Notamacropus eugenii: one gene and its partners. Each later gene encodes a partner of the first gene's protein in a complex. Links are inferred from orthologs where the notes say so. Each region holds a gene or a part of one and is shown on either strand. Other genes may lie near its edges. The genes, in order: MED24, MED20, MED12 and MED13.

What was found.
Region 2: MED24 (region 1) and MED20 share a complex: the UniProt entries of both Homo sapiens proteins name them as parts of the mediator complex. The link is inferred for Notamacropus eugenii from reciprocal best matches to the Homo sapiens genes MED24 and MED20.
Region 3: MED24 (region 1) and MED12 share a complex: the UniProt entries of both Homo sapiens proteins name them as parts of the mediator complex. The link is inferred for Notamacropus eugenii from reciprocal best matches to the Homo sapiens genes MED24 and MED12.
Region 4: MED24 (region 1) and MED13 share a complex: the UniProt entries of both Homo sapiens proteins name them as parts of the mediator complex. The link is inferred for Notamacropus eugenii from reciprocal best matches to the Homo sapiens genes MED24 and MED13.

Annotation. Positions count from the first base shown.
Region 1 is NC_092873.1:355,633,860-355,641,520, forward strand, and holds the start of MED24 (mediator of RNA polymerase II transcription subunit 24), read right to left. Parts: upstream 3,003-7,661; 5' UTR 2,939-3,002; intron 2,763-2,938; exon of another isoform or gene 2,511-2,762; intron 40-2,510; exon of another isoform or gene 1-39. UniProt on the Homo sapiens protein: Component of the Mediator complex, a coactivator involved in the regulated transcription of nearly all RNA polymerase II-dependent genes.
Region 2 is NC_092873.1:102,946,506-102,953,801, reverse strand, and holds the start of MED20 (mediator of RNA polymerase II transcription subunit 20), read left to right. Parts: upstream 1-4,286; 5' UTR 4,287-4,294; coding exon 4,295-4,488; intron 4,489-4,929; exon of another isoform or gene 4,930-5,009; coding exon of another isoform or gene 5,010-5,164; intron 5,165-5,738; coding exon 5,739-5,893; intron 5,894-7,296. Other genes in the region: BYSL (bystin), read right to left, coding at 3,538-3,805. UniProt on the Homo sapiens protein: Component of the Mediator complex, a coactivator involved in the regulated transcription of nearly all RNA polymerase II-dependent genes.
Region 3 is NC_092879.1:100,125,990-100,133,310, forward strand, and holds the start of MED12 (mediator of RNA polymerase II transcription subunit 12), read right to left. Parts: upstream 3,001-7,321; 5' UTR 2,911-3,000; coding exon 2,812-2,910; intron 2,440-2,811; coding exon 2,335-2,439; intron 2,041-2,334; coding exon 1,849-2,040; intron 1,358-1,848; coding exon 1,198-1,357; intron 1,098-1,197; coding exon 925-1,097; intron 755-924; coding exon 644-754; intron 562-643; coding exon 307-561; intron 1-306. UniProt on the Homo sapiens protein: Component of the Mediator complex, a coactivator involved in the regulated transcription of nearly all RNA polymerase II-dependent genes.
Region 4 is NC_092873.1:373,002,810-373,010,329, forward strand, and holds the start of MED13 (mediator of RNA polymerase II transcription subunit 13), read left to right. Parts: upstream 1-4,509; 5' UTR 4,510-4,637; coding exon 4,638-4,703; intron 4,704-6,721; coding exon 6,722-6,956; intron 6,957-7,520. UniProt on the Homo sapiens protein: Component of the Mediator complex, a coactivator involved in the regulated transcription of nearly all RNA polymerase II-dependent genes.

The DNA of each region.
Region 1 (7,661 bases):
TCTTTCCTTTTCCTAGGATCCCAATAACCAATCTCCTTTCTGAAAAATAAATATTCCTGATAAGAAAAATACCTATATTCCTGATTTCATCAACCATCTGTACCTCAGTTTCCCCTGCTCTCCTTTTCCTCCTCCCCAGTGCTCAGAGGTCTGTCAAGCAGTGAGGTAATGCCAAGACAGCTTGGAGAGTTTCCTTCACATTTCATCTGCTGGTACCAACTCTCTTTAGGCTAGGGGAGTGCTGGGGGTGGGGGAGACAGAGAGCTTATTTCCACAACTGGCTAGTTGATGGCCAGTATCCCCCACCTGTCACTAGGATATGAAATGATTACAGGGGCATGGAGTTGTATGAGGTGTTGGCTCTTAGGCAGAGGTCTTCTTAGGGAGATAACTATCTAGAATCCCTATTGATAGGGGAATAGGAGAGGGAGAAATTGTGGGGGTACACCATAATAACAGAAAGAGGGAAAGAGGAGGTGTTTGGATACAGCTTTTGTCAACAATAGCCAGAGAACAGGCTGTTCCTTAGACCACCCTTTCTCAGGTTCCTTTTCCTGTCTCTCCTATCCTTAATATACTATAGTCTCCTATTCCCTTCTCCCTTCTCTTCCTTTCCACCACCTCAGAGTACAGGGGCAGCTAGGTGGTGCAGTGGATAAAGCACCAGTGCAGGAGTCAGGAGGAGCTGAGTTCTAATCTCACCTCACACACTTGACACTCATTAGCTGTGTGACCTTGAGCAAGTCACTTAACCCCAATTGCCTCATCCTGGGTCATCTCTAGTGATCCTGATGAATATCTGGTCACTGGATTCAGATAGTTCTGGAGGAGAAGTAAGGCTAGTGACCTGCACAGCCCTCCCTCACTCAAAACAAAGTCAAGTGCAAGTCAGGTCATTATTTCTCTGATGGCATGGTCTTCTGCGGCAATGGAGGACAAACACACCTCACAGTACAAGGGAAGATGGAGGGATAGGAAAATCCATATTCACTATTAAGCTAAGATGGTGAAATCTCTCCCATCCTCACTATGAGAGGCAGCGGGTTGAATAAGAAGAATAAGAAAAAGCTATAGATTTGTCATCAGATGACCTCAGTTTAAGATCCTGACTCTCTGTGTGATCTTGGGCAAGTCACTTGAACTCTCTTGACCTCACTTTCCTCATCAGTAAAATGAAGATGTAAGTCCAGAGTAGTTTCTACAAAGGGTTGGTCTAGATGATCTCAGAGACCATTTCCAGCTCTGAAACTGTGATGTTATGATCACTGCATTCCAAAGAGTGTCTCCTCTTCCTCCTCTTGATCCCATGAGAGATCTGAAGGGCAAACCTTCTTGGAAGACAAGCCCCCAGGGACGACCTACCATGAGAGAATTACCTCTAAAAAGGAGAGGTTTGGACAATCTAATCAACTCAGGCTGTTGTTAGTCAGACAAATTTTCCAAATGTGATCGACCAAACTTCATCCCCACCTCCTCATGAGAAGGGAGCAGGGGAAGAGGGGCCCCACCCTGGGGAGCCCGTGGGAAGGCAATGGCCTCCGCTGGTAAAACTGGGCTAATGACAGCAGGGGAACCGGCAGGGCCAGAGTGGGGGGCTGGGGTAATTAGAGCTTTGCCCAACCTGGAAGATCCCAAGATGAAAAGGGCTTTGGCGTCTCTGGGTTGGTTTAATGTCCATGAATACAGCTGTATGTGTATGCATAGGAAGGTGTGTGGGGTGGGGTGGGGGTGGGGGACCTGACACATTGGAGAGGTCTCTTTTTGGATGACTCCTACAATTTGCATATACACAAAGGATTCTGGGTTCTAGGTTCTGGATTCCAGTTCGGTTCTCCACCCCGTTGAAAAAAAAAAATCAAAATTCTCCCAGCATCACGATGAGATATAAGAGCAGGACGGGAGAGACCTCTGCATGTATCCTGCAGGTACATAGTCCTTTCCAGGTCTCTTCCTTTTGACCAAAGGGGCCGTGTTTTTACTTTTCTCTACATCACCAGAGCCGAGCACAGTGCCTGGCTTCATAGTACTCCCTGAGCCAATGCTTGTGGACTGACTAACCGACGGCATCCTCCCTCCTGGGCTGCGGAGGGTCTTCAGAAACATGGCTGGGGACAAGAAGTGGCCTCCAGGAGGGAGCCTAGCGAAAGAAGGAGGGCTCAGAGTGGGACCGGGAGAAGCGTCGGGTGGGAGCGAGCGTCAGAGAGCAAATTAGCGAGAAGCGAGCGATTCCCGAGGGAGCGATCCGGCAGGGATGGGCACTTGTGAGTGAGCCGGCGTGGGATAGGATGGGGCGAGGGGGGACCCGCCAGGCGTGAATGGACTGAGGGCATAGCGCACTCGGTCCGAGTAAGATGAAGAAGGTGAGAGGAGATAGGGGCGGGGCCGGGCCGGGCTCGGCACAGCCGACCTGGCCGGGATGGCCCGGGCTGGGAGGGGAGGCCGCCGGGCTGCTAGGCTCGGCCTGCAGGGAGCAGCAGTGAGCCAGGCCCGGGCGGCGCGGAGCCTGGAGCCCGAGCCCGAGCCCGAGCCCGAGCCCGAGCGGAGCGGGGCGGGGGAGGGAGGAGCTAGCACGGCCGCCGCCTCTGCCGGAGGAGCCGCGGGGCCGCCACACTTGCCCCCCTCCCCCTCTCTCACTCGCACTCACACCCGGGGACAGGAGGCGGGCGGCCCCGGCCCCACCGGTCCCCCATGGCCACCCCCGGGCCCCGGCGCTGAGCCACCCGCCACCCCTCCCCACGCACAGCCCAGCCCGCCACGCCGAGGTAAGGGGGAGGGGGAGGGGGTATTAATATGCAAATACATTGCGATTGATTATGCAAAGCCACCGGACGCTCGCTGGCTGGGGTCCTAGTCCCGGCTGGGGGCGTCCCTGGGGACCCGCTGCCTGCACAGCCAGCCCCTGGGTGACACTGTCAGTGCTGGGGTGCTTGCAACTTACCAACTCCCCGGAGTAAATGGAGGACTCGGCTGGCGGGGGAGGGGGACGGGACGGTTGCAGCGGGTTGGTGGCCAGGAGGGGGGCGGTGGTGCTGCAGGGGCAGATGGCGTCCGGGCCTCGCCCCCCACACCCCGCCTCCGCCGCCCCGCGGGTCCCCGGCCTCTCCCGGTCCCGTCTGCTACGCATTGTCGGAGCCGCGGCCCCGGCTGCCAGGCGGCCCCTGTTCCCCCGCCAGCCGCCGCCGCCGCCGCGGTTTGTTTACGGTTCGGGCGGCCTGTTTCTCCCCCCACCCTCCGCCCTCCCGACTGCCGGGGCCGAGCTGCTTTTGCAAAGCTTCCTCCGGCGGGAGTGGGGGGGGGGGGGGGTTGCAGCCTCCCCGGGGCTCGAGGACCGCCCCAGCCCCTTCACATGGGGCTGCATGGCCCTCCAGTTGCAACACTCCCAAATGCAAAAACGCGGCTGGGGGAAGAAAAAAGAGGAGTTGGTAGGAGAACTCCGGGGTCCCCGGGAAGCGCCCGGAGAGTTGCATGCTCCAGGCCACTTGGGGAAGTGCGAGACCAACAGGGAGGGAGCTGAGGGGCTTGCAACGTGTCCCTCGAGCCCCTGGCAGATGGGGTTTCCCCCTCTTCTGGATGGGGAAAAGGCCTAAGGGGTGGCGGGGTCAGAGTTTGAAGGGAGGGTGAGGGAGGAGGAGCGAGGCGCGGTTGGTAGTACTCCGGGAGCCCTGACCTGGCAGAAGCTGGCTGACGGGAGGAGGAAGGGGGGCTTGTCCGGGAGGTGAAGGGTAGGGGGAGGCGGTGAAAGCCAGACACACCGGGATAGGCGCTGACACGGGGACGCGGGGCGTCAAGGACAGGAGGGTGATAGACACACCCACACTGGGCCAGGAAGACCGAACACTCGTGAGCAAGTGCACACGCTGAGATGGACACACCCACAGGGGGACCCAAGGACAGGCAGACAGACACGGGCACATACCCACATACAGACTCCTATACACAGACATCGCTATACATAGTCCCAGGTGCAGTCACAACCGACAAACAGATACTGTATTTATGGAGGACCTAGTGTCCAGGCACCACTGCCTTGCTTTTCATTGAGAGAGATACCAAGAATAGATACATTCTTGCCTTCAAGGAGTTTAATCAATCTATAAATATTTATTAATTGCTTCCCAGGTGCCAGGCACTCTGCTAATCGAAAAGGATACAAAAAGAGGCAAAAGACAGGCCCTCTCCTCAAGGAGTTTACATTGTAACTGAGGAGAGAAGATTGCCCCCAAGAATAAAAGCTATGTCAGACAAATGCACATATATAGTAATATACATACTCTCTTACTCCAAGGATTCTTAACCTATGGGCCATATTTTTTTTGTTTTGTTTTTTTTAGAAGCTTATTTCAATATAGATAGTTTCTTTTTATAATCTTATACATTTAAAAACAACATTCTGAGAAGGGTGGATAAGCATCACCAGGTTGACAAAGGGTTCCATGACACTGAAAAAGGTTAAGAACAACTCTGTATTTAGATTGTAAATCCCTTTAGGGCAAGGATAGTATTATTTTGTACCCATTTATACCCAACAGCATTTATCCCAATGTTTCCTGTATAATAGCTGCTCTGTAAGTATTTGTTGATTGAATGATAAGAGTAGCAGATTTACTGTGTCACACATGCAGGCATTCACAGACACAAATGCACACATTCTTTCTCTGTCTCATGCTTTTTCCTGTGTCTCCCTCCTCTAAGGGCATGGACAATTTTAAAGGAGATTAGGAAGAGAAATTTTCGTGAGAGAGGGGAGGTAAGGGGTTTCTGAGGACTGAGACAATAGCCCCAGACAATAACCCTGCCTAAGCTGCCTTGACAACTGGGGGCAGCAAGGTTGTCTTTAGGGGAATCAGACTTAACTCTCTGCCTCCCACTTCCCCACCCTAAAAGTGTCTTGGGGAACTCATTTGCCTGAATCTTTCCTGCTTACCCCAAAGCCTCCCCATAACCTCAACTAGATGTTTTTTTACTATCCGTTTAGATGTTACCTTCTGTCCTTCTGTTCAAATTGCTGTGTTTTTATGTGTGTTTTTGTCCTTTTATCTGTTTATCTCTCTGTCTGGTCTCTTTCTCTTTTAAGCTCTATATTTCTTTTCTCCTGTCACTTTCTTTTGAGTGTCTCCCAGTCTTTGCATGTCTCAGCATTATAATCTTCTGTCCTAGAGCTAGGGACTAGCTAGGACATCCTTCATATTTCTCTGGTTGCTAATAGTGAGCTTTTCCCTGCTGCCTCCCCAGGGGTCAGCAGGAGGTTGGGGTGGGGGTGGGGGGTGGAAGGGGCTCTGCTGGCTTCTCAGGACATCCTGGATTTCCTTACCAAGAGAAAAGCACAGCTGTGGCCACCAGGGTTTGGGGAATGGGGGTGGGGAAGGGTGCTTCTGTTCAACCAGGCCTCTCTACCTGGCTAAGCTAAGCCTAGATACAGGACCTAAATAAGGGGAGCTCTAGGAACTATTGGGGTTTCCTAATGTCAATGAGGATTCCTGTCTTTTTGGCTTTCCAGGGCTCCCTATTCAATTCTAAAGCTTAGTAGGTAAGAGTATTGGTGTCTCCTATACCCCACCCCATCCTAACGTCTATGGGAATTAGCACTCCAGGGAAAGGGTTAGGAGCTAGGCCACTGACACTGGAATATCACTCCCATTGGGATTTATTCCAGGCTCTTAAAACTCCTTATTTTATTGAGATTGACCCTGAACTTGCCTTGGGGAGCCAGATTCTGGAACTAGCCCTGATTTCTTTCTGCCCTTCTCCCCCCACATCTGATTGTTCCCTCATCTCCAGCTTTGCCATGTCCCCCCAAAGTCCAGCCATCCATACTTTATGCCATCCATATACTTTGCCACAACACATCTCTGAGAGTACCCTTGTCTTTCATGAATGTAGAGACATTTAAGGCCCATTGTGGTGCCTTAGTGCCTGTGGCACTGACCAAGGGTGGTGTATGATAGAAATGGCTAACCCTCCCCTCCCAAGCTCTCAGAGGATTTTGTGAAGTGAAGGGAAAAGGAAGGAGGAGAATCCTGGAGCCTGATTTGACTGGCCCCTCCCCTTTGTTCTTCCTCCCCTGTCCCTCTGGTGTCAGTGTGTGATGGCTAGGATAGACACCTGGGTAGCTACCTCCATTTGCCCTGGGCTTCCCTCATTCACTGGCTTACCTGGAGGAGGTAGCATAGGATCATTGATCAAAATGATATTGATTCCACATTGCCCAGCCTGGTCAGGGATAGAACTAGCTGAGGAAAGGGACCATGTGCCTGACTGTCTTGGGGAGAGGGCTGGAGGAGCTGGGAAAAGTTGGATGGATGAAGGAAAGGATAGAGTGAGGTTGAGACAGGCTTCCCTCTGGAATATCCCTGAATGGAGGAAATGTGGACAGATCTGTTGTGCAGATTTTCTGTCTCTTTCTCCTAACCCTGACTCAGACCCCTCCCCCACAGAGGTGGGGGGGGGGGGGTTTGGGGGTTAGGGAAGGCAAACAAGTTTTGCAACCTGGAGACTTGTGGAGAAGAGTTTCTGGCTTGAGGATAAGGCCCCCTGACTATCCTCTTCCCTCCATCCCCCCCATTCCCTAGAGAAAAGGGACTTCAGAATGGAGATTCCTCTTCCCCACCCTCCCCCTTGACAGTGAGTCGGCAGGGTGGGCTGGGTTAATTATTGGCATCTCTATCCGTGGCTTAATTTGTCCAGTTCTGTTGTACTTGTGGGGTTGGGAGTTGGGTCAAGGGGCAGGTTCCCACTGCTACCCAACTTGACATCAAGAGCATAGTTGAGGAAGGGTGTGTTTGTGTTGAAGACTCATTTTCTGTCCCAAAACCAAGGATATCTCCCTGAACCCAGGAATACTATTGGAAGAGGTTGGGAAACAATGGTACCAAGTAGGTGAAGGGGAACCAATCAGGTGGACCATGAAGGTTTGGGACTCAACCTGTCCATCTAGCTAGGTGACATCTTCCCCCCTTTCTGTTGCCATGGTGATGGATGCATCACCTCCCTTCCCCCCTACTCCTGCCCCTGTTACCAAGTTGCCAGCTCCACCCACTCCAGGTGAGGCATGAGACAGTTGAGGGGAACCAGGAAGAGCTGCTGCCCCCCCCCCAGTGGAAACAGGAAACTCTGGAGAGGAGTGGGGGGGGGGCACATCCTACTTCTTAGAGCTGCCAGTCTGTTTGGAGGTGGAGATCAGGGAAGCATTGATAGAGTTCCATGGCCTGGATAGTATTGGCCATTCACAATGCTCATGGACTTGACTCTTAAATGCCTGCAGCCTTCCAATGCCAAGGCAAGAGGTGGAGAGCTGATCTCTCCCTGGTGGGAAGACTGGACATGCCCAACATCAAATGTGTGCTGCCTGCCACTTTCTTGACTGGGAGGGGCTTAGGTGCCAGGCAGCTCCAAGGGCAAAGGGGATAGATTTGAAGCCAAGAATTCACCTGGCCAAAAAGCACAGGTGTTTCACCGGATGTACTCCATTGTTGCCCCTGAAGGCAGGTTGGGTGGAAAAGAAGACTTTTTTGGGGTAAGGAAAGTGGACAGAGTCTGCATAGAAGTTGTTGCCTAAGGCATATTAGTTTTGTGGCTAGGGAGAAAGACTGAACATGTGCCCAGTAAGTGAAGGGTTAATAAATACTTGCTACATTAACAGGCCTCACCTCCAAGAATAGAAG
Region 2 (7,296 bases), about 250 Mb from region 1:
GTGAAGGGTCATCAGGAAAGGCACATCTTAAATCAGTATCAAAGTACCTAAGTGCTTTCTGTTTGCTGCATACTGTGCTACCTGATGCGGGGGAAGGAATGGATGATGTTTTAGTCAAACACCTGCCTTGTGGCACTTATAAACAAGCTAAACACATGTGAGACAGTAATAATACCAGAAAATGATTAAGTGCCCATATATTTTTAAAGTAGCAAAGAACTTGAAACTAAAGGGGTGCCCATGCACTGGGGAAATGGCTAAACATGGATGGAACATGAATGTAATGGAGTACCATTGTGCCCTATGAAATGAGTAAAGGGATAGTTTCAGGGAAACCTGGAAAGATATATAAACTAATGCAGAGTAAAATGAGCAGAGGAAATGTGTTGTGTTTTGAAGCGAAGAGGTTAAATTAAGGAAGAAGTGATTCCAAGCACAGGGAACAGCCAATGCAAAGGTATGGAAATTGGAAACAGTGGGAGGAAAAGCAAGAATGTCAATTCCTGGATGGCCCATAGGGTAGATTAAAAGCTTTATATGCCAGAGGAGTTTATATGTAATCCTACAGGCAAGAGGGAGTCAGTTGAGTTTACTGAGTATGGGAGTTACCTAAAGCTTGTATTTTAGGAAAACATTTTGGCACCTGTGTGGAGGGTAAACAGGAATAGGGAGTCTTTGAGACAGGGAAACCAATTAAGAGGTTATTAGGTGAAAGGTGATGAAGACCTGAACTAGAGTATCTGATATCTATATAGAAAGAAGGGGAGGGATATGAGAGATGTGGATGTAGAAATGACAAAATGTGGGGACTGAATGGATATGTGAGTGAAGGAGTTTAGGAGGTCAATGATGTGAAACTGGATGAATGGAAGTCAGAAAAAGAGAGATTAAGAAGAGAACTTGATTTTAAGACAAAGATAATGAACTCTGTATGTACTATATTGAGTGTGAGATGCTTATGGGATGGCCACTTTGAAATACCTAATATGCAGTTAGAAATGTGAGACTGAAGTTCAGGATATAGACTGGAGTCAGATAAAGAGATTTAGGAGTCATTTGTGTACCTGGCACATAGTAAATGTATAAAAATGCTTTGTCTGCTCTATAGAGATATTTTCACTTTATTTCAGCTAACGCTTAAGTGAACAGGCACAGGTAATTTTGATCACAAAATTTGATCATAGTCAGGATATAGTCTTGGGGTACACTAGGGATGTACTGGAGCCAGCCCCAACTATTCTTGGGACTGTTAGATTTTCAATGTAAGGATTTATACCTTGGAAAATGGCAAATGCTACTAATGAGAGCTTGATTTACTTTTTTGCTGATTATTTAGATTTAAGATATGAAGAAAACTTAATTATGAAGATTAAGCTTAAAAGCATGTGGAAGAGCTGATTGTTAAACATTTACCAGCATACTACTGGGGTATAACTACAGTTAAGTAGTGTGATTATGGATTATAAACCAGCAAAGGAGTCAGAGAAGTAGGAGAAGCAAGAGAACAAACTGTCTGAAAACCTAAAGAAGAGAGACTATCCAGGAGGAGAGGGTGGTCAGTAGTAGTAGTAAAAGCAGCAGAGAGGTCTGGGCTGAAAAGTGAGAAAAGGATAACTAAACAATAGATGTAAACAAACAAATAAAAATGCTATGTTTGACACTTTTCCCTTATCAGATGTCCTCTAAGATCCTATGCAGGTGCAAAATTCTGAGAAGTCTACTGAGATGGAAAGGAAAATGAATGAACATCATTGTTTGGGTTCCCTCTCCCTCTCATGGCCTATGCGCCTCCATGCCTGAGTCACCAGTTAATGATCATTTATTAAGTGTCATCTATGTGTTAGACTATGTGCTAAGCACTAGGTATACAAAGGCAAAAACATTAGACACTTCCAAGGAACTCAATCTAATGGGAAGACAACAGGAAGGCTTTAGGGGGAATTGGGAAAAGCTTCTTGCAGAAGGTGGGATTTTCAGTTGAAACCTGAAGGAAGCTGAGGAAGCCAGGAGGGCAGAGGTGAGGGAGAAAATTATAGGCAAGGGGGAGAGTCAATGAAAAGATGAGTAGAGATATGGAGTGTCTTGGTCAAGGAACAGCAAGAAGACCAGAATCCTTGGATGGTAGAGTATGTGGAAGACAGTAAAATATTAAAAGACTGCAAAGGTAGGAAGGGGTCAGGTTATGAAAGGCTTTAAAAGCTGAATAGGATTTATATTTGATCCTGGAGATAAAAGACCCACTGAAGTTTACTAAATGCACAATTACATGATGAGATCTGAACTTTAGGAAGAACAGTTTGACACCTCTGGTGGAGGACGGACTGACCTGGGGAGTGACTTGGTTACACAATAGACAAGGATGAGGTGATAAGGGTCTGTACCAGGAGGGTAGTAGTGTCAAGAGGAAAAAAGGGAACATACAGAAGTTTCTACAAAGATGGAATCCACAGGACCTGCCAACTGACTGGAAATAGTGGGATGAGAAAGAATGAAGAGAGTACAGTATGACTCTTAGGTTCCTGACAGTAATAGAAAAGTTAGGGTTTTAGAGGAAAGCTAACAAGTTCTGGTTTGGATATAATGACTTTGAGGAGTCTATGGGATATACCAACCAAGATGTCTAATAGTCAGTTGGAGATGGATAAAAAACTCTATAAGAATCATATGTATGATAAGAGACTATAATTGAATCAACAGAGACTGATGAGATCACCAAATAAAGTAATAGAGAAGAATAAGACAGAACAGTTCAGGGTTTTTGGGCACACTCACAAATAGATGGCTTCACCTGGATGAATGTCCAGCAAAGGAGACAGCAAAAGAACTGTCAGGCAGAAAAGAACCAGGACAGGGGTGGGAAACCTGCGGCGTCGAAGCCACATGTGACCCTCTAGGTCCTCAAGTGCAGCCCTTTGACTGAATCCAAACTTCACAGAATAAATCCCTTTAATAAAAAGATCTGCTCTGTAAAACTTGGACTGAGTCAAAACGCCACACCCAAGGACCTAGAAGCCTAGAAGCCGCAGGTTCCCCAACCCTGAACCAGGACATAATCAAGACAGTAGTGTCACAAAACCCCATAGAAAATAGAGTATTAGGAAGAAGAGGGAGGTCGACCCAGTGTCAAAAGCTGTAGAGATTTGCAAAGTAAGAAATAACTGGTACCTTGGAGGGATCAGGGCCCGTAGAATGATGAGATCAGAAGGCAGATTGCAAAGAATTGAATGAGAGGAAGGTTAATTGGAAGTTAGCACCTATTGTAAACAGACTGCTCAAATTCTGCAGAAGAGAGGGAGTCAGATATAGTCGGATGGAGGGGGGGATGGAAGGCTCAAGTGGGGGTTTTTTGAGGATAAGGGAGACGCGTGCATGTTTGTAGGCAGTAAGAAAGCAGCTAGTATACAGGGAGAGGTGGAAGATTAGCGAGTGTGCTTTCAAGGTAACTAACCCACAAGTTTCCCTGAAGCTCCGCCTTCAGTTTCTCGGCTCCTCCCCCTCCCCTATTTCCCGCAGGACCCTTTCGACCCCCTCACTAACCCAGCCGCGTGGTGGGCTTTCTCGGCGCTGTCTGGTCACCCGAGCCATGTTCAGCTTCTAGCTCCTCCTGCTGCTCTCGCGCCTGCTGTAGGATCCGCCGGGTCAGCCGGGGCCCCACGTACTCTTCTTCTTCCTCCGTCCCGCGGCCTCGGTCCCTCCGTTTCTCCCGGCTTCCGGGCCGTACGGAGTCCCCTGCCAGGATCTGGTCCGCCAGAGGGGCATGCTTTGCCTGCCCTCCGGCCTTACGGGACGACTTGATCTTGGGCATGGTCTCCACCACCCCTTCCTCTGAAACACACGTGGGGAACTGGCAGGAATATGGACTGCGCCGGCGCCAAGCAGCGCGTCATTCTCTGCACCTCCCAGATTTAGAAGACAAGCTCCATTGGCGGAACACAGCGCCTCCCAGCGATCGGAGGCCGGAAACTCAGCTTCCGGTGCCCCCCCTACCGGCCCCGCCCCCTGAAGTTAGACGTCACCAGGCCCCTCCCGGGGCCCCCGCCGTACGACGGCTCGCGTTATGTGAATTGGACTCGTAGTTGCCCACTGTAGCTGTAGCCCTGGTTTGGATTTGTTCTGTCTTCCAGAGATGAGTATTTAGGTCGCGAGTCAATTCCTAGAAACCTCCCGCCTTACTCTAGGGTGGGGAAAGTGGGCGGAGCTCCTAGTCGGGGTGATCGCCCAAGTCCTGGCAACTCCGCGGCTGGTGCTCTCTTTGAGACGCTTTATTTATACGTCACTTCCGAGGCCCGACTTAATGCATCACTTCCGGATTCCTCTTTTTCCTCCTCCCCTCCCCCTTCTCTCTCCCCTACAGTCTTTCCGTCCACCTCCCACCAAGGCCTGGAAGTGGGGCTTCCTGCGGGAGAGCGGAGGGAGAGGCGAGGCCGCGGCGTCGGATTCCTCCAACGTACACACTCCCGTGCGACCTGGAAGCATGGGGGTGACATGGTAGGGCCGCGAATGTTGCACGTGGAGGGGGGAGGTCTCAGAGTTCCTTGGGCACCCGGGCCGGACCGCGAGGGAGTACGGAGAAGGCGCTGCGTCCCCGCAGAGGCCTCCTCCCGACCCTTCTCCTTTCCCGGTCTTGTTGGGATGAGTGGGTGGGGGCGGGATGCCTGGGCTCGGGTGTGAGTCAGGCCCTTCCATCTACCAGCTCTCAACCCGTCCCCGCTTTGGGGGCGCTGCAGGCCTGGTGGGGGTGTGGGTGTGTTGGGGGGAAGTTTACGCTTGGGTTTTGTAGGTTTTTTTTTTTAATTGTAGGTTTTTAGAGATTCTGGGAGACTTTAAGGCAGTTCCCTGTTCTTAGGGGAAGGCGAAGGGCGGGAGGAAGCCCTGGAGGTCACTGAGTGGCAGGCTTCAGCTTCTCCTCTTCCTTCGCCCGACCTCCAGCCCGAGACACCCCGCAGTAGAGCTGGACCAGGGGGACGGGATCTCCTGCCTGACCAGAGTTTGATCACCATCCTCCCGGGATGGCGGGAGGGAGCATTATCCCTGGCACTGAAAGGGGGAGAAAGGAGCCAGCTTCTGAAGGCTGTTGGGCCCGGCTTGGAAAACCCATCATGTTGAAGAGGGAGAAGGAGAAACAGTGCCCTGGTGGTCTGCTTTTCACATCTGGGGCTGAGGGGTCATTGTCAACCCTATCTTTCCTTTGTATCCCTCTAGCGCTTAGCACAGTAACTCACACGTAGTGCTTAGTAAATGCTTCTTGACCGAAGAAGGTATCAGATAAGGGCACAACTTTTTGGTGCCACATCTGAGAGCTTGTGAAGACCTTTCCTTTCTAGAGTTATTTTTGGCACTTGCAAGTTACTGACTGCCAGCTAGTAGTCCCCAGAGTTCAATCAGTAATCTCTTTCTGAGACTTGGCATGGTGAGGGGAAAGGTGTATGACAGCAAAGGGAACTAGGTAAAAAGCAGAAAACGAGAAACATCTGCTGCATTGGGAGAATGATATGCTTAGTGTGATCCCTAGGATATCCTTATCTTTCTTTTTCTGGAGAATTCTCATTTGGGCCAAAGCCACACACAGACTGCCTGTAGTGTTTTGCTTCTCGCATATGAGCAGTGGCATCTCCCAGCAGGGATGGGACTCTGGCTGGGATGGGATCTGGGGCTACCAGCTTCCTTTGCTGAATGAGAAGCTGGGGGAGCCTGTTCACATCTATGTGGACCCTGAAGGCTCATCACTACCCTTCTAGTGTGTCCCAGATGCCTGTGGCTGAGGGTAAGAGTGTCCAGCAGACCGTGGAGATCCTGACCAGGAAGTTGGAACTGCTAGGGGCAGAGAAGCAGGGGACATTCTGCGTGGACTGTGAGACCTACCACACAGCGGCCTCTACCATGGGCAGCCAAGGTCAGTGTGTGGTAAGTAGGACAGCTGGAACCTTGCTCAGACTTAGTAGATTCTCCAGATGCTAATGTCCTTAGACATCTTTCTGGCTGAGACAGTTTTCTGCTCAAGGCTATTCATTAGTATTTCTGAACTCCTGACGCTCAGTTGTAAGAGTTTTGGTGTTTTTTTTCAGTCTAAAGGTTGAGAACCAAGAGGAAATCTTTCTACACTTTTTGTTTGTTTGTTTCCTGTCTTGGAACTCCCTATACTATCACTCTGGCCACTTCCTTTGCCATTCACTGAGGCTCAATATACTGTCCACTCTGTGGGAAGGAAACTCTGTACCAATGGTTTGAATTAAAATGCAAAAGTAGAAATGATGAAAAGACCCACACACTAGGAATAGGGGGTGTGGGACCTTAAATTGTAGTCCTTTCTGTACTACTTACTTGCTTTGTGAGCTTAGACAAATCTTTTGTCTGTTCCATCAGCTGTATATTGGGAATTACAGTTTAAAAGGTTGTTTTGGAGATAAAATGAGATATGAAAGTGCTTTGAAAAGTGTTAAGTGGTATACACATGTAAAAGGATATTTAGAAAAGATAATCTTCACAATTGAACTAGAGAGGCAAAACCTAGATACTTACTTAAAATATTTTTAAAGCTTATTTTTTTATCTCTTTTTATATTGCCTTCATTTTGAATTATAACCTTACCCACTCTCCTCTGCCCAGCAAGCTATCTCTTGTGAAAAAAAGAAAATTTTTAAGAATGTTGGAGGGAAACAGTTCAGCAAAAGAACTGTCACTAATCGTTTTATATAGTCCATGCCCACAGTCTCCTACTTATACATAGAGGAGAGGAAGCTATGTTTGGGGGCCAAGCTTGGTTACTGTAATTTACATAGCATTTAGTTTCATGTTTTTTATTTTCGTCTTGGTCTTTTTGTTTACATTGTTAACTTTGTGTATATTTTGCCTATTTGTCTGAGGATGAGAGGGAAGTGAAAATGAATTCCTAGTTCTCTCTATCAGTTCCAACTCTTTCCATGCTTCTCTGAATTCTTGATATTTCTCATTTCTTAGAGTGTAATAATCTGTTACATTCATGTACCCTAGTTTGTCCATTGGTGTCTGTTTTCTTATTCTTTGCTATTCCAAAAAATTCTGTTATGAATATTTTAGGGTATAATATGAGACTTTCCATTTTGGACCTCCTTGTGGTATAGGCTTATCTGTAGGGTCTCTTGACCAAGAGGTATGGACATTTTTTAGCACCCACACCTTTTTTGCATAATTCTCAATTGTTTTCCAGAAATTGAGTAACTCACAGTTCTGCCAATATAGTATTAGTATCCAGGTCTTTCTGAAGCCCCTCCAACATTGATCTTTCCCATCTTTTGGCATCTTGACCTATTTGCTGGG
Region 3 (7,321 bases), on another chromosome or scaffold:
AGGAGACCAGCCAATCAAAAAGGCCAGTTACCAGGGATGTCTTTTCAAGACCAGGCCAAACATGACAGGCTCCTGCCCAGCACCAGTCCCGCCAGCTCCAGTGTGGAAGATAGGAAGTTGAACAGGAGGGAGTCTCCTTCCTTACTTGCCCCAACCCTCCCCTTGACCCCCCAACATATTCCTTTGGCTTGGGATCCTGGGATGCCAGCTCTGGGCTGCAGGCCCTGACTTCCAACCCTCGTGAGACACTCATCATGGTCATGACCCAGAGCTTGCCCCAAAGCCTGGCCATGGCTCAGCACTCACCTGAAGGATGCAGCTGAGCCCAAACACCAGAGGTCGATGCTGAGGACACTGGAGCAATTCACCAAAGGGTGTGGAGGATTGGCTGCCAGCTGGTGGCTGAGGAGCAGGGGTTGGGGGCAATGTGCCACTGGACTGAGTGGCAAGCACGTGGGGAGGGTGGCTGCTCACACCATCCAGCTGCAGGGCCAGTCTCCGAGTACAGAAATAGGCAAGACGTCGAGAGAGGTATGCAGACTGGACAAATTCCCCTGAGTACTGTGGAGTAGACATGGCACTCAGAATCTCCAGTCAGTCTGGCCCCTTGCAGTCCCACAAAGCTCAGGCTTTAGGGTCTTACCCGAAGCAGCAAGGGCAGCAGGAGTTTGAGTAGCTCATCCTCTCCAGGCCGGATTTTCTCAAAACACTCTAGGACCCAAGTCAGGAACTCATGTCTGTCTAGCATCCCATCCTGAAAGTGCAAGGGTACGAGGAAAACCAGAGAAGAGAGAACAGCATAGAGGGAGCCAGGTTAGGATCTTGAGGGAATTGCAGCAGGTACCAAGTGAAATGGCTCCTTATTGAGCTCAGCTTGGTGCCCTGCACACTTAGCCTCCCCCAACCCCTCCCATTTCCTGCTACCTGGAACATGAACATGGCCAGTTTCTCATTGTAGTCCCACTGTCGAAGAGCCACCTCCACCTCATGGGGAAGGGACCCCGAGGCTGAAACACAGCTCCCAGGCCCCGGCCGGTAGAACTCTGCCATCTTCTGCAGCTGCTCCCACAGATACTTGGTGATAATCTGGGTCCACTCTGGAAGTGGGATGGAGAATGGGATATCAGGAGGTGGGGCAGAGGGGGGAGCGGCCCTAAGGGGTGGGAGATGCCCGTGCTCTGCCTTTGGTTTACTCACCCATGAAAGGGTCGATGACGTGCTTCTTCTTAACCTTGGTCTCTGTGATCGCTGCGTAGTAGGCACAAGTCATCTTGATGAGCCAGGCAGCCCTCATCACTGGCACTGCGTACTTAGCCAAATAGGCAAATACCTCTTCTTTCTTCCCAAAAATGGGCACCTACATGTGGATGCCAGAGGGATTCTGAGGATCCCAAAGCCACTTCCATGGGACCCACTCCCAAGTCATGTGAATTGAGTCCCATTGGCCTTGGGGCTAGCTACCAAACTGGTGGCTATCTCTCCCCGTGAGGCCTTACATACAAAAAGAATGGGCATATCAGAGGAGAGAGCACTAAGAAAGGTGGCACCCAGAAGGTGGCACATAGCTCTGAAGGACACTAGAAATTCTACAAAGTGGAGGTGAGGAGGGAGCACCTTCAGGCCTGGGGAACTGACTGACTGCATAAAAGGGCAGGGAGGCAGGAGACAGGTCGATGAGTGGGAAATATGATGGAATGTGCCAGTCTGGTGGCAACAAAGAGGATGAGAGCGGAAGCTGAAGTCAGCCTGGGACAAGCTGGAAATAGCAAGGGGGAAAGAGCTGGCAGCTGGGAGCCAAGAGTGCTCTCTCCCCCCACAGCCTGTAGGCCCCAGGAAGCAACGCCTCACCTTTTTGGCTAAGTGTGTGAGTGGCTTGGTGCCAGCCAAGTCCGTGAACCAGGCATGGATGGCACTCTGGGAACGTGCGGTGACCAGCCAAAAGTTATCCTTCTGATTCACCTGGGGCTTTCGGCGCCCGGTGTCCGGTAGGGTATTACAGCGAAGCTTCTCTGCGATGATGCTGCTGAAGTTGGAGCTGATCTGAGGGGGGAGGGAGAAAAGGGAGAGGGCAATCGCCAAGTGGTCCTGCCAGAGGGCCAAGCTGAAGCTGCCCCAGCCAGCCCCCTTGGCACATGGGATAGCAGGGGTCCTCCAGTGCAGCCCATTTCTTGCAGGGGCCAGAGCTACCCCCCCCCCCCAACCCTCCAGCTCTAGGCCACTTTGCCCCTCCCTTCTTTGGAAGCCAGTGAGAACGACTGGCTAAGGAAACTCTGGTGGGGAGGCTAGTTGAGGAAGCGTCGTCGCCCCCCTCTCCGGTCCCCCGCCCCAGCTCGCCTTGGCCGGGTTGAAGTTGACGTTCTTAGCGCTGCCGTGCTCATCCCCGGACACTGCGGGCTGGTTGTTGAAGCCCTGCTTGACGTTCAGGGCAGTCAGCTCGTCCTGAGGGACAGGGGGGAGGGGACCCTTGAGCCATCGGCGCTTGGGCCTCAGCGGGGGGGGGGGGGGGTGGGGGGGGGCCACGCTGACAGTTGGTGACAGTGAGCCGCCGGCCGGCCGCCCGTCCCCAACTCTCCAGGGGGAGGGGGACCCGACCTGCCAACTTTGGCGGGGAGCCGCGGGCGGGGCCCTCGGCATCCTCCGGGGCTGGAGGAGTCGGGACAGCGACCGCGCGCGCCCACCCCCCCCACCCCGGGTCCAGATCGCCGGTGGGTCCCCTGCCCCCTCCTCCCCCCTCCTCCCCCCTCCCCCCTCCTGCCCCCTCCCCCCTCCTCCCCCTCCCTCCTCCACCCGGCCGGGCCGCGCCGCGCGCACCTCCTTCTGCTTGGGGTCCTGAGGGTAGACATCGGGCGGGCCCAGCCGCGGCCGCTTCAGCGGCCGGTGCTCGTAGCTCAGGATGCCGAAGGCCGCCATCTTGGCCGGCAGCCCCAAGCCGCGGCAGCGCCGGCTGGGCCCGGCCGGGAGTGAGGAAAGCGAGCGAGAGACGACTGAGGGCCGAGAGCGGAAGGGGGCGGGGGTAGGGGCGGGGGTAGGGGCGGGCGGGGGCGGGGTCGGGCCCAGGCCCGCGGCGGGGGCGGGGCGGGGGCGGGGCCAGCGCTCGGGGGCGGGGCCGGAAACTGGCGAGCGGCGGGGGCCGGCCAGGCCAGGGCAAGGAGAGAGCCCAGCCCGGGAGCTCCGAGCCATGTGCCGCTGGCAGGCTGCCCGCCGCCTGCCTCCGCCCATCTGGGCCCCTTTCCCTCTCTCTGTTCCTTCGTACTTCCAGCCTCCACCCATCTGCCCATCCTAGGGCACCTGCCCTCAGCCGCTCGCGGGCCTCCGGAGCCTCCTCAGTTTTTTCCTCTGTCTACTACGGCCCAGGGTGGAGGGAAGGGGCGAGCATCTCCGAAGCCGAAGTGTGTGCCCAGTGCTTACTTCGCTTAACCCGAGAGCCCCGAAGGGATCCCCACTGACGCTGTCACCTCCTACCACAGGGTCCCCATTGTCTAAAGATCCAAGGACCTCAGAGGTCACGTCGGGCACCGCCTCATTTTACGTATGCTCTTTTCCACTTCTTTCTATTTGAGGAACCTTTAGAAAGTCCCTGCTGTGCCCAGAGTGCCCCACCTCCCCTCAGTGTTCCTACCTCGCGCGAGATACGGAAATGGAGCAAGACGTAGTCACTGCGTTCAAAGAGTTTATGATTTAGTAGGAACTGGGGATGGATAGAGAAGTATGTGTGACAAGTTAGGAAATGGTTGACCAGAAGTCCAACAGAATATTCAACATAAATGTTGGGCGGAATGACAGAAGAGCTGCCTGGAGGGAGGCTCCCGGCTAGCTAGCTCAAAAAAAGCCTTCGATTGCTCCAGCAATCCCGACGCGCACCCCAAACTAGGCGCAGTGGCCTGCATTTAGCCAAACATCTACGCGGGTTCAGCTCTCCCGGGGGCGGGGAGAGCGACGAAGCCAATCCCAGCAGCCCCGGGCTCCGCAGCTGCGCTCCGGGAGGTAACATTCACCGGATACCAGCCAATTACAAACTACCTCCAAAGCTTGTACAAAGTAATTCAGTGGCGCTGCAGTGCATAGAGCGCAAGGCCTGGAGTCAGGAAGACCTAACTTCAAATTCAGCTTCAAACCCTTACTTACTAGCGGTGTCATTTCAACCTCTGTCTTCTTCAGTTTCCTCAACTATAAAATGGGGATAGCTAGTAACAACTCCTACCTCCCAGGGTTGTGGTGAGGATGAGTGAGATCATATTTGGAAAACTCTGAGCACAGAGTAAGCTCTATATAAAGGGGAACTGGAATTTTGCTGGGGAGATCAAGAAAAGAGCCCAGGGCCCAGCTGGTCCGAGCTCTCAAGGGGCTTGGAGGCTGATTCCAAAAGGCAATTGGGGGGGGGGGGGTGAGGGGAGAGACTGACTGCCTGGCCAAAGACACAGAGAAGGGCGCTGGAATGTCCTGCGTGACTGTCTAGGTCAGATGTTTTCAATATGTTGGTGAGTTTGACTGGTGTCCCTCTTCGTCCCCCCCCCCCCCTTTATCTTTTGTAATCTTTGATATAAGTGTCTTTAGGAGAGAGAAAGGGCGTGGGGATGGTGTACATAATGCATTAAGGATCAGTACTTCACATATATTATCTCATTGGTTCCCCACAGTCACCCCAGGAGGTGAATGTATCTTTTGTAGAAACAAAATATATATCATTAACAATTTAAATAAATCAAAAGAATGTCACGTGTGAGCAAAAGCAGGTGAGCCAGGTCTCCTGGGCCCTGTGAGCGTAGGAAGTGTGGGCTCGGAGGACTCGACCTTTGTCTAGAAAAGCAGGTAGGAGGCAAAGAAACAATCAGCCAGCCAATCAAACAATGCGCAGTATTCAACCGCTCTGTGCCCAGCAGGGTGCCAAGCACTGGGAATAATACAAAGGAGGCCAAAAGCAATGTTTGCCCCCAAGGAACTCCCAGCTCCAGCTAAAGCCTCGGAAGGGAAGGAAAGGGCTTTCAAAGCCACCCTGAGCCGGGGCCTAGAGGCAATAGAGACCTCCCAGCAGAACTTGGGAGAAAGGGAGGCACCTGCTTAGGCCTAGGCTTTCAGCCAGAAACAACTTTCCTGACTTTGGGGAGGATGGCTGGGAGTGAGGAGGGAACAGAGCCTGGGGGCAGGGAAAGCTTGAGAGAAGGTGGGGCCCGTGGGGACTCAGGCTCCACAAGACTTGTCCACTAGTTATAAAGGGGGTGGAAAGAGTGGAGGGGAATACAGAAGAGTTGCTGAAGACCCCAAGGTTTGGAGCCCAGGTGACTGAAAGGATAATAGTACCCTCATAACAACAGCTAACATTTATAGAGCAGTCTGGGCTGCTAGGTGGCTCAGTGGATAGAGCGCTGGGCCTGGAGTCAGGAAGACCTATGTTCAAATGTGGCCTCTGACACTTACTAGCTGTGTGACCCTGGCCAAGTCACTAAACCCTGTTTGCCTCAGTTTCTTCATCTGTAATATGAGCTAGAGAGAATATAGCAACCCAGTCCAATATCTTTGCCAAGAAAACCCCAAAAGAGCTCAAAAAGAGCCGTACGCAATTGAAACGACTAAGTACAACGATATATAGCACTCTTAAGGTTTACAAAGTGCTCTACAGCTATAATTTAATTTGATCTTCACAAAAACCTTGCAAATTAGTATTATCTCCATTTTACAGATGAGAAATATGAGGCAAACAGGAGTTGTTACTTGCCAGGGTCACTCAGCTAGTAAGTGACTGGCCGCATTTTGGACTCAGGATCTTCCTGATTCCAGGTCTAGCACTCTGTGCACTGTGGCGCCCTCTAGTTGCCTCAGCAGTAATAGTGTGGGCTTCATAGAGGGAATAGCCCCGGAGCTGAACCTCTAAATCTGGGAGACACGACTAGAGTCTAGATTTGTGACTTCATTGTTATGGGGGAAACTTTCAGGTGAGGAAATTTCCCCTACCTATGCAGGTCAGCACCTTCTCTTCAACTTCTAGTCTTAAATCGAGTAGCCTGGGGTCACTGGGAGATTAAGTGACTTGTCCAGAGTCACACAACCTGTATGTATCAGAAGCAGTGGGATTGAAATCCAAGTCTTCTGGTTTCAGGGCCAGCTCTTGAATCTGGAAAGCAGCTTGGCAGAAACTAGGTTAAAGACCAACATCTCACACCATATACCAAGATGAGGTTTTAAAAAAAAACAATATCAGAAGCAAATTAAGGGATCGTGGAAGATTTTACCTGTCAGATCTATGGATAAGGGAAGAATTTATTACTAAACGAGATAGAAGGGATCATCAGAAGTAAATGGATAATTTTTATTACATGAAATTTAAAATTTTTTGCAAAAACAGAATTAATGCTGCCAAGATTAGAAAAAAAAGGCAGGAGACTGGGGAGGGGGGCGGTTTACAGCAAGTTTCTCTGATAAAGGTCTCATTTCTCAAATATATAGGGATCTGAGTCAAATCTGCAAAAATATGAGCCATTCTCCATTTGATAAATGGTCAAAGGATATGAACAGGCAGTTTTCAGGAGAAGAAATCAAAGTGATATATGTGTGTGTGTGTGTGCGTGTGATATGAAAAAATGCTCAAAATCACTACTGATTAGAGAAATGAAAATTAAGACAACTGAGGTACCACCTCACATCTATCAGATTGGCTAATATGACAGAAGTGGCAGCTAGGTGGCAAAGTAGATAGGGCACTGGGCTTGGAATTGGAAAAACTCAACTTCATGAGTTCTAATGTGGCTTCAGACACTTACTAGCTGTCACTTTACCCTGTTTGCCTCAGTTTCCTCATCTGTAAAATGAGCTAAAGAAGGAAATGAAAAACCACTCCAGTATCTTTGCCAAGAAAACCCCAAAAGGAGTCACAAAGAGTAGGGCATGACTGAAATAATTCAACAAACAAAACATGATGGAAAAGGAAACTGACAAATCCAGGAGGAGATCTAAAAAAAGTGTTGGTGCTGTAATACACTGTTAGTGGACTTGTGAACTGGTCCAATCACTCTGGAGAACAGTTTGGAACCATACTCAAAGGGCTATAAAACTGCATAATCTCGGACCCAGCAATACCACTACTAGGTCTGTATCCCAAAGAGATCAAAGAAAAGGGGAAAGGACCTATTAAGTACAAAAATAATTAGAGCAGTTCTTTTAGTGGTGACAACGAATTGGAAATTGAGAGGATGCCCATCCATTGGGGAAATGGCTGAACAAGTTGTGGTATATGATTGTGAAGGAATACTACTGTGCTGTAAGAAATGATAAGAAAAACCTGGGAACACTCATTTGAGCTGATACAAAGTAAGGTGAACAGACCCAA
Region 4 (7,520 bases), about 17 Mb from region 1:
TGCTAATCATCACCCGAGCTTTCAGCAAGTCAGAATCTTTTTGCTAATGGAGGGTCTTGCCTTAATGTTGATGGCTGCTGACTGATCAGGGTGGTTGATGAAGGTTGGGGTGGTTATGGCAAGTTCTTAAAATAAGACAACAATGAAGTTTGCCTCATTGGTTGACTCTCTCATGTGCACAGTTAGAGGCCATTGTAGGGTTATTAATTGAACCAATTTCAATATTATTGTGTCTGAGGGAATAGGGAAGCCTGAGGAGAGAGATAGGCATGATAGGTCAGTGGAGCAGTCAGAACGTCCCCAACATTTATTAAGTTTATTGTCTTATATGAGTGGGGTTTGTGGTGCCCCCAAACAATTACAATAGTTACATCAAAGATCACTGATCCCAGTTCACCCTAACAGCTATAATAATAATTAAAAATTTGAAATATTCCTAGAATTGCCAAAATGTGACACAGAGACATGATGTGAGCTCATGGTATTGGAAAAAATGGGTGATAGACTTGCTTGATGCAGGGTTGCCACAAACCTTCAAATTCTTTTTTTTAATTCAGAATCTTCAAAGTTCCATAAAGTGAAAAACAAAAGGTGGAGGTATGCCTGTGCTTCATTTCCTAAGGACATTTTTATTGACTGCCCCCACTGCCTGGAATGTGCTTGCTCTCTCTCTGTCTCCGTCTGTCTGTCTCTCTGTCTCTGTCTCTGTCTCTCTCTCCATCTCTGTTTCCTACTTTCTCTGGCTTCCTTTAAGCACCAGTTAAATTCTCACCTACTAAAGGAAGCCTTTCCCAATCTCTCTTAACCCTAGTACCTGCCCTCTGTTGGTTACTTCCAGTTTATCCTGTATATAGCTTGTTTGCACATACGTGTTTGCCTATTGTCTCCCCCATTAGACTGTGAGTTCCTCAGGGACAAGGTCTGTCTCAGCCTTAACTGTGTTACAAGCTGTATTAGCCGAGTCACTTGACATCTCAACCTCAGTTTCCTCACCTGTGAAATGAGGATAATAATGGCACCTATGCATATCAAGTTATTGTGAAAATCCAAGAGATAACACATCTAGTGATTTGTAAACTTGAAAGCACTATATAAATGTTAGCTATTATTAGCCATGTAAAAGCAAAAGATAGAAAAAGAAAAGCTATTTTAAAAATTTCCAACCTTCCTTATGACCAAAAATATATATAAATCAAATGTTTCGGATTTTAGTGATGAAACCAGTTAGACTCACTCTCAGAAAGCAGAAACAGTTTGTGGCTAGACCAGATTTGAAATACATCGAACCCAGCTGAAACTTCAAGGGATTACAAACTGCTAACCCTACAGGGCCTTTAATAACCCAGGGTTACAGTCACAATCCTGGAGATGCAGCTTGGAGGTAGAGCTTCTGTGGAAGGTTAAGCATATATATAGTAATTCAATGTACTTGGAGAAAATGTTTCTTCCAAAGAATTCAAATAGGTTATTGAAACAATATAACCATTACGGAAGCTGTGGCCCAGTGGAAAGAGGTCTGGACCTGGAGCCAGGAGACATCTGGATTTGAATTCCACCTCTGACTTTTAGTATGAGTCTGAATTAATGAATTCACCTCAAAGGATTGGAATAGTTTTCAGAAGAAGAAAGTCAATTGATTAACAACCATATGAAACAAATGCTCCAGATATTTAAGTTCATAATAAAAAGAATAAAAATTTAATGACCTCAAAAATGCAAATTAAAACAACTCTGAGTTCTCACCTCACAGCCATCAGATTGGCAAAGATGATACAAGACAGAAATAGTTGGTGTTGGTGGAACTGTGAATTGGTCCAACCATTCTGGAAAACAAATTGGAACTAAGAGAAAAGTCCCTGAACTGCTCATTCCATTTGGCTCAGCAATCCCACTTCTGGGTCTATCCCTTGAGGAGGGCAATGACAGAAAACAAGGTCTCAAATAGAACAAAATACTCATAGCTGTACTCTTTGTGCTTGTAAAGGAAAAAAAAAACTGGAAGTAAGCATCCACTTTAATTGAATGAATAAACTGTAGTATATGAGTGTAAGATTATTGCACCAGTAAAAGAAAAAAAAATTAACAACCACCAAATTTGAGAAATTCAATGGAAAGACCTGCACGTGTTGATGCAGGGAGAAGAAAGAAACCAGAATCTAGAGAACAGTAGACAGACACAATGACTACATTTGCATAACATAAATGAAAACAACCCTAAAAAGCAGTTGATCTCAGATTAAATTCAATGAACAGTCTTGGTGCCTGAAAAAAAAGATGAAGAAACATATCCTTCTTCGTAGAGAGGTGGGGAAGGCAAGGTTCTCAACTGTCAACCTTAAGATGTGATTGCTGATGTAAAGCTCTTTGCAAGTCTTCAAGCATAATACAAAGGTGAACTACTATTATTCATCCCTTTGTTTGGCTTAACTGTTTTTCTTTTGTTAATCAATCGGCCAACAAGCATTTTTCAAATGCCTACAGTGTTTTGGGCTCTTTTTAGGTAGGCATTGTACTAACCACTGAAGATACAAGCACAAAAGGAATATAGTCTGTCCCTGAAAGAAGCTTGCATTCTGTTGGAAAACCAAGTGCCTGTATAAGTATATGAAAAATAAATACAAGATTTTTTTTTTTTGAAGGGGAAGGTACAAGTGGCTGGGTGAATCTGGAAAGGAAGGCTTCATGTGCCTGATAGTGCTTGAGCTAAGCTTTGAAACTAGGTATTCCAAGAGGTGCAGTTGCTAAGAGAATTCATTCCAGGCATGGGAAACAGCCTTTACAAAACCATGGAATTGACAGATGGAGTATCTGGAATAAGGAATTGCAAAAAACGAAAATTTGACTGGACCTTAGAGTGTGTGAAGGGGAATAATGTATGATGAACCTGAGAAAGTTATTGGGTGGGTGGCTGGGGGGGGGGGAAGGTTATGAAGGAGGAATTTGTATTTGCTCCTAGAAATAATAAGCAGTCACTTATTTCATTAACCATCGGGGAGGCACTATCAGACCTGTGTTACAAAGGACATTTAATAAGTATGAATGTGAGAGTAAATCAGGAAATGATTGTAATGTTAAAAAAAGAAACACTTCAAAGACAGTCTGGCATAGCACCAAATCCTTGTTTCTGACACTTAATAGTTGTGTGACTTGACTCCTCAGTCTTCATCTGTAAGATGCATTGGAGGTCCCTTCTCGTTATGATCCTATGATCAAATTTTTAAAAAAAAGTTACTAAAAGAAAGTTACTTCCTCTCTATGGCTCTCAGTTTCCCCATCTGTAAAATGGGTTTAATAATTATAGCGTTGCGGTAAGGAAAGCTATACAATTCCTAGTTACTATATTCCACCGATCGATTGCCTACATAGCGCAATAGACAACCTGCAACATTTTGTATACGAAATGAGTTACAAAGTTAACCTTACTCGGCTACTGTTGCCATTTTTCGCTTTTTCAGTTTTGTAACTTCCCAGGAAGGTGCCAGGCCGGCTAGAAGCGCACTTTCGGGCTCCGACCCAGGAGCACTTACTAGGCGGCGCTGTTTCAGCTGCCACCCGCTTCCCAGGCCGCCCCTAGCGGCGAGCAGCCGGGGCTCTCCGGCTTCCCGGCCCCTCAGTCCCTTGGTCCTTTCCTCTCTCTCTCCTCCTCCTCCTCCCCCCCTCCCCTGGAGCCTGGGCTCACGTGACCCCTCCGCGTCCAATGGGCAGGCAGAGAGGCCGAGCTGGTCCCTGCGGCCGCCATTAAAGCGAAGGGAAAACCCGTGAATTCGGATTAAAGGGGGAAAAACACCGCCCGCCGGGCCCACAAAATGGGGGAGACGACCGCGTCCAGGCGGTGAGGCCGCGGGGGGCGGTGGGGGGGGAGGAGCGGACGGGCAGGCCGGCCCGGCCCGGTCCGGGGGAGGGAGGGAGAGAAGCGAAACCACCAGCGAAGAATGGTCTCAGCCCGCGGACGCCGCCACCGCCGCCGCCGCCGCCACCACCGCCGCCGCTGCTGAGCAGACTCCGGGCTTGAGGACGTCGCTGGAGCCGCTGCCGGGCCGGGGTCGGGGCCGGAGTCGCGCCCGCCTGCCCTACCTGCCCTGCCCCTTCCCTGCCTCCCCGCCCGCCCTTCCCTGCGCCCCAGTCTGGGTCCGGGCGCTGCGGCCTCTGTTTAGGTTTTTAATTATTTATTCTGTAATTTATTATTAATTATTCATCTCTCCTCTCGTGCCGCGGGGGGCTGCGTGTGCGTGCCAGTGCGTGTGTGAGTGACTGAGTGCGAGTGAGCGTGTGAGAGCGAGCCCCCGTCGGCCTCGGCTGAGCCGGGGGGCGGCGGGTCCCCGGGGCCCGGCAGCGGAGGCGGCGGCGGCGGCAGGTCCCGTCCCCCTCGTCCCCGGGCGGGGCTCCTCTCCAGGCTCGGCCCGGCTGACCCCTCCGCCCCGGGGCCGCGGCCGGGGCAGCCGCCGGGAGTGGGTTAGAGAGGGCGGGCGGCTGGCCGGCCCCGCGGCGGCCTCCTCTTCCACCCCCCTTCCCCTGCTCCCTCGCCCGCCCGCCCGCTCGCCCGCCTCCCTCCCCGGCGTCTGTGTTTCTCTCACTGGTCGGAGGCGGCGGTAATGGCGGATGGTGGGTTGTGGCGCCGGCGGCGGCTGTGAGGGACGATGAGTTCCTGCTTCGTGCCGAACGGGGCCAGCCTAGAGGATTGTCACTGTAACCTCTTCTGCCTGGTGAGTGAGGGAGCGGGCGGGCGGGCGAGCGACGGCCGGAGGGAGGGAGGGAGCGAGGGAGTGCGTGCCCCCGTCCCGAGGGGCCCCGGCCCCGGCTTAGGCCCCGGCGGCCTGGGCTAGGCCCCCTCCCCGCCCGCTGCTGGCGGCCCCGGGCGCTGCCGGGCCCCCTCCCCCCTCCCCGACTCCAGCCCCCTCCCCGGCTCGTCTTGAGTCTTTCCCCCTGCCCAGAATCCCTCTCCCCAAACCCTCTTCCTCTCCTCCCTTGCCAGGCCCCGGACCGACCACCCCATTCTCCTGTTCAGCTGCTGCTTTCTCTCAGTGCCCATCACACTTTTCTAGGACTGGTCTGCCCTGGTCTCTTTCACTCCTTGCTCCCTTCGCCCCTTTAAATGAGCGGTCCTGCAGGGAACCCGACCCAGAACCCCAAGCAAAACCCCAATTTTACCAAGAAGACTTGTCCCCCCTCCTTTTTTTCCTCCTCTTAACTTGCTCACCTTTATAACTAGCAGAGAGCGCTCTGAAACATTTCAGGGATGCCATTTCATAGTTTTTTTTATTTTTAATTATTACTTTGAAAACAAAGTTTTTTCCTTCCATTTTTGACAATTTTCTAGTCATCTTGCTCTGACTGGAACATTGTGTTGTGTGTGAGTAGAGGGCAGTAGTGGAGGAGGTGCTGTAGTGTTGCTTCTGAATGTTTCTATATTTGTGTATATTTTGGTATGCATTTTAAAATATTTTGAGCAGACTGCTCCTTGTTTTAACTGGAGTGAGATGCTTGGGAAAGCTAGGCAGCTAAGGAGGAATGCATTGTGCCAGACTGACCAGGCCTGAAAACATCTCAACTGTTGCAAACTTTCTAGTTCTGAATCTGAAACTCTTAGCTTTTGTTTTTAAGTGACTAGTTTGACCTTTTTTGTTTGCCTGTCTGTAAGGAAAACATTAAAGGGATATCAGAGTCAGGAAAGTTAATTGAGGGGATGAGAGCACAACTAGTTGGCAAGTGTAAGCTGCCGGTCATGTATCAGCAGTTTCATTTTTGGCACCTCCAGCTTTGTACCTTGAAGTCAGACTGAAGACAAGTTGGAATACCAGCTGTTAATTTTCCTCCCCACAATCTTAAATTTTAAAGTATGGGGAAATATTTTCTTACAGTTGGGCTATGTTAGTCATCCTTTTTGAGCACACAGCTTTCTCTTAAAACTAGGTTTTATCTTCTGGTTTCTCCAACTTCAGTTTATCTTGTATTTTAATTTTTGTTGTTTTTTATGATGAGAGACTAGTACAGATCTGACAGTTCATTATAAACAAATAGTGAAGACTGCCTAAAACTCTTAGTGAAGAATTGGAAAGAGTTTGCTTCAGATGTCATTTTCATAAAATGTTAATAATTTTCAAATACGTAGTTACAAGATACTTTAAAAAAAAAAAACTCTCAAGGGGTTTGAAGGAGGTAATGCTGCATTGGCTGTGGAATAGTAAAGGAAGATTGGGACTGGGTTTAGATCCAGTCTGATATATGCTGTCTATGTAACCTTTGGCAAATCACTTATTCTCCTTGAACCTCAGTTTCCTTATCTGTAAAGTGAAGCAGACTGGGTTAGACAGTCTCTGAAGTCTCTTCAAATTCTGTACCTTCCAATCCTGTGACACTTCTTACCCTTGAGGCTTTTTCCCCAACATTTTTGACTTTATAGGCAGCCAGTATAAATTAGAATATTCATCGAAGAAACATGAGTGACTTCTGATTGCAAGACATCCAGAGATTACAAAAATAAATAAGACATGGCCCCTGTCCTTGAGGAGTCAAATACAGCAGAAATGAGTTGTTCTCTAAATACGTTAAATATTATGACATGAAGTATAAGTTGCATAATTCTTCTTCTTAGGTCTTATACCTCAAAGCTTTCATTGGAAAAGCATGACAATCTCTTTAAGAAACTTTAAAGGACACTTATTTTGGCTCTGTATGAATGTAAGATAATGTAATCACACTTTTTTTGTTTTTTTAACTGTAGGCTGACTTGACAGGAATTAAATGGAAACGATATGTATGGCAAGGCCCAACTTCTGCCCCAATTCTGTTTCCGGTGACCGAAGAAGACCCCATTTTGAGCAGTTTTAGTCGCTGCCTTAAGGCAGATGTACTTGGTGTTTGGCGGCGAGATCAGAGACCTGGAAGAAGAGAATTGTGGATATTTTGGTGGGGTGAGGACCCCAACTTTGCTGACCTTATTCACCATGACTTAGCAGGTGAGAGTAATTTTCATACATTTGTAACATAAGAGAGCATTATGAACCTTTTGGGGGCTGTATTAATGATGCAGATTTTCTTAAATAACACTAAAAAAAGTTATATCTTGAAAAAAGGGTAAGTTATCATGGATGAAACCAGAATAAACTAAATTTTGATATGATTCCAATTCCCTGTGAATATTGATCCTCCTGTGCTTGGTTTGTTTTTTACATTGTAGATTTTCTGTGGCAAATTGTAGAATCTTGAATGTCTTTCTCCCATCACTAATCCCTGTAGGCTTTTGCATCCCTGCTATTAGTTTATTTCCTACCCAGCAAATACATAGTAACATTAACCTAAACAATTCAATTCAGAATGTAAATCTGGTACAGGACTTCATTGAATGTATTCTCGGGACCAATATAAATGACTTGAATTTTATCTTCCATTGCTGTTTTCTAGTAGTGAAAATAACCACTATTTTATAACTAGCATTTCAGGCTTCTAACTTATGATGCTTTTACCTAGGCTTAAAATAATTGAGAGGCAACGTGGTATAGGTATTCATTATGAACACAGGC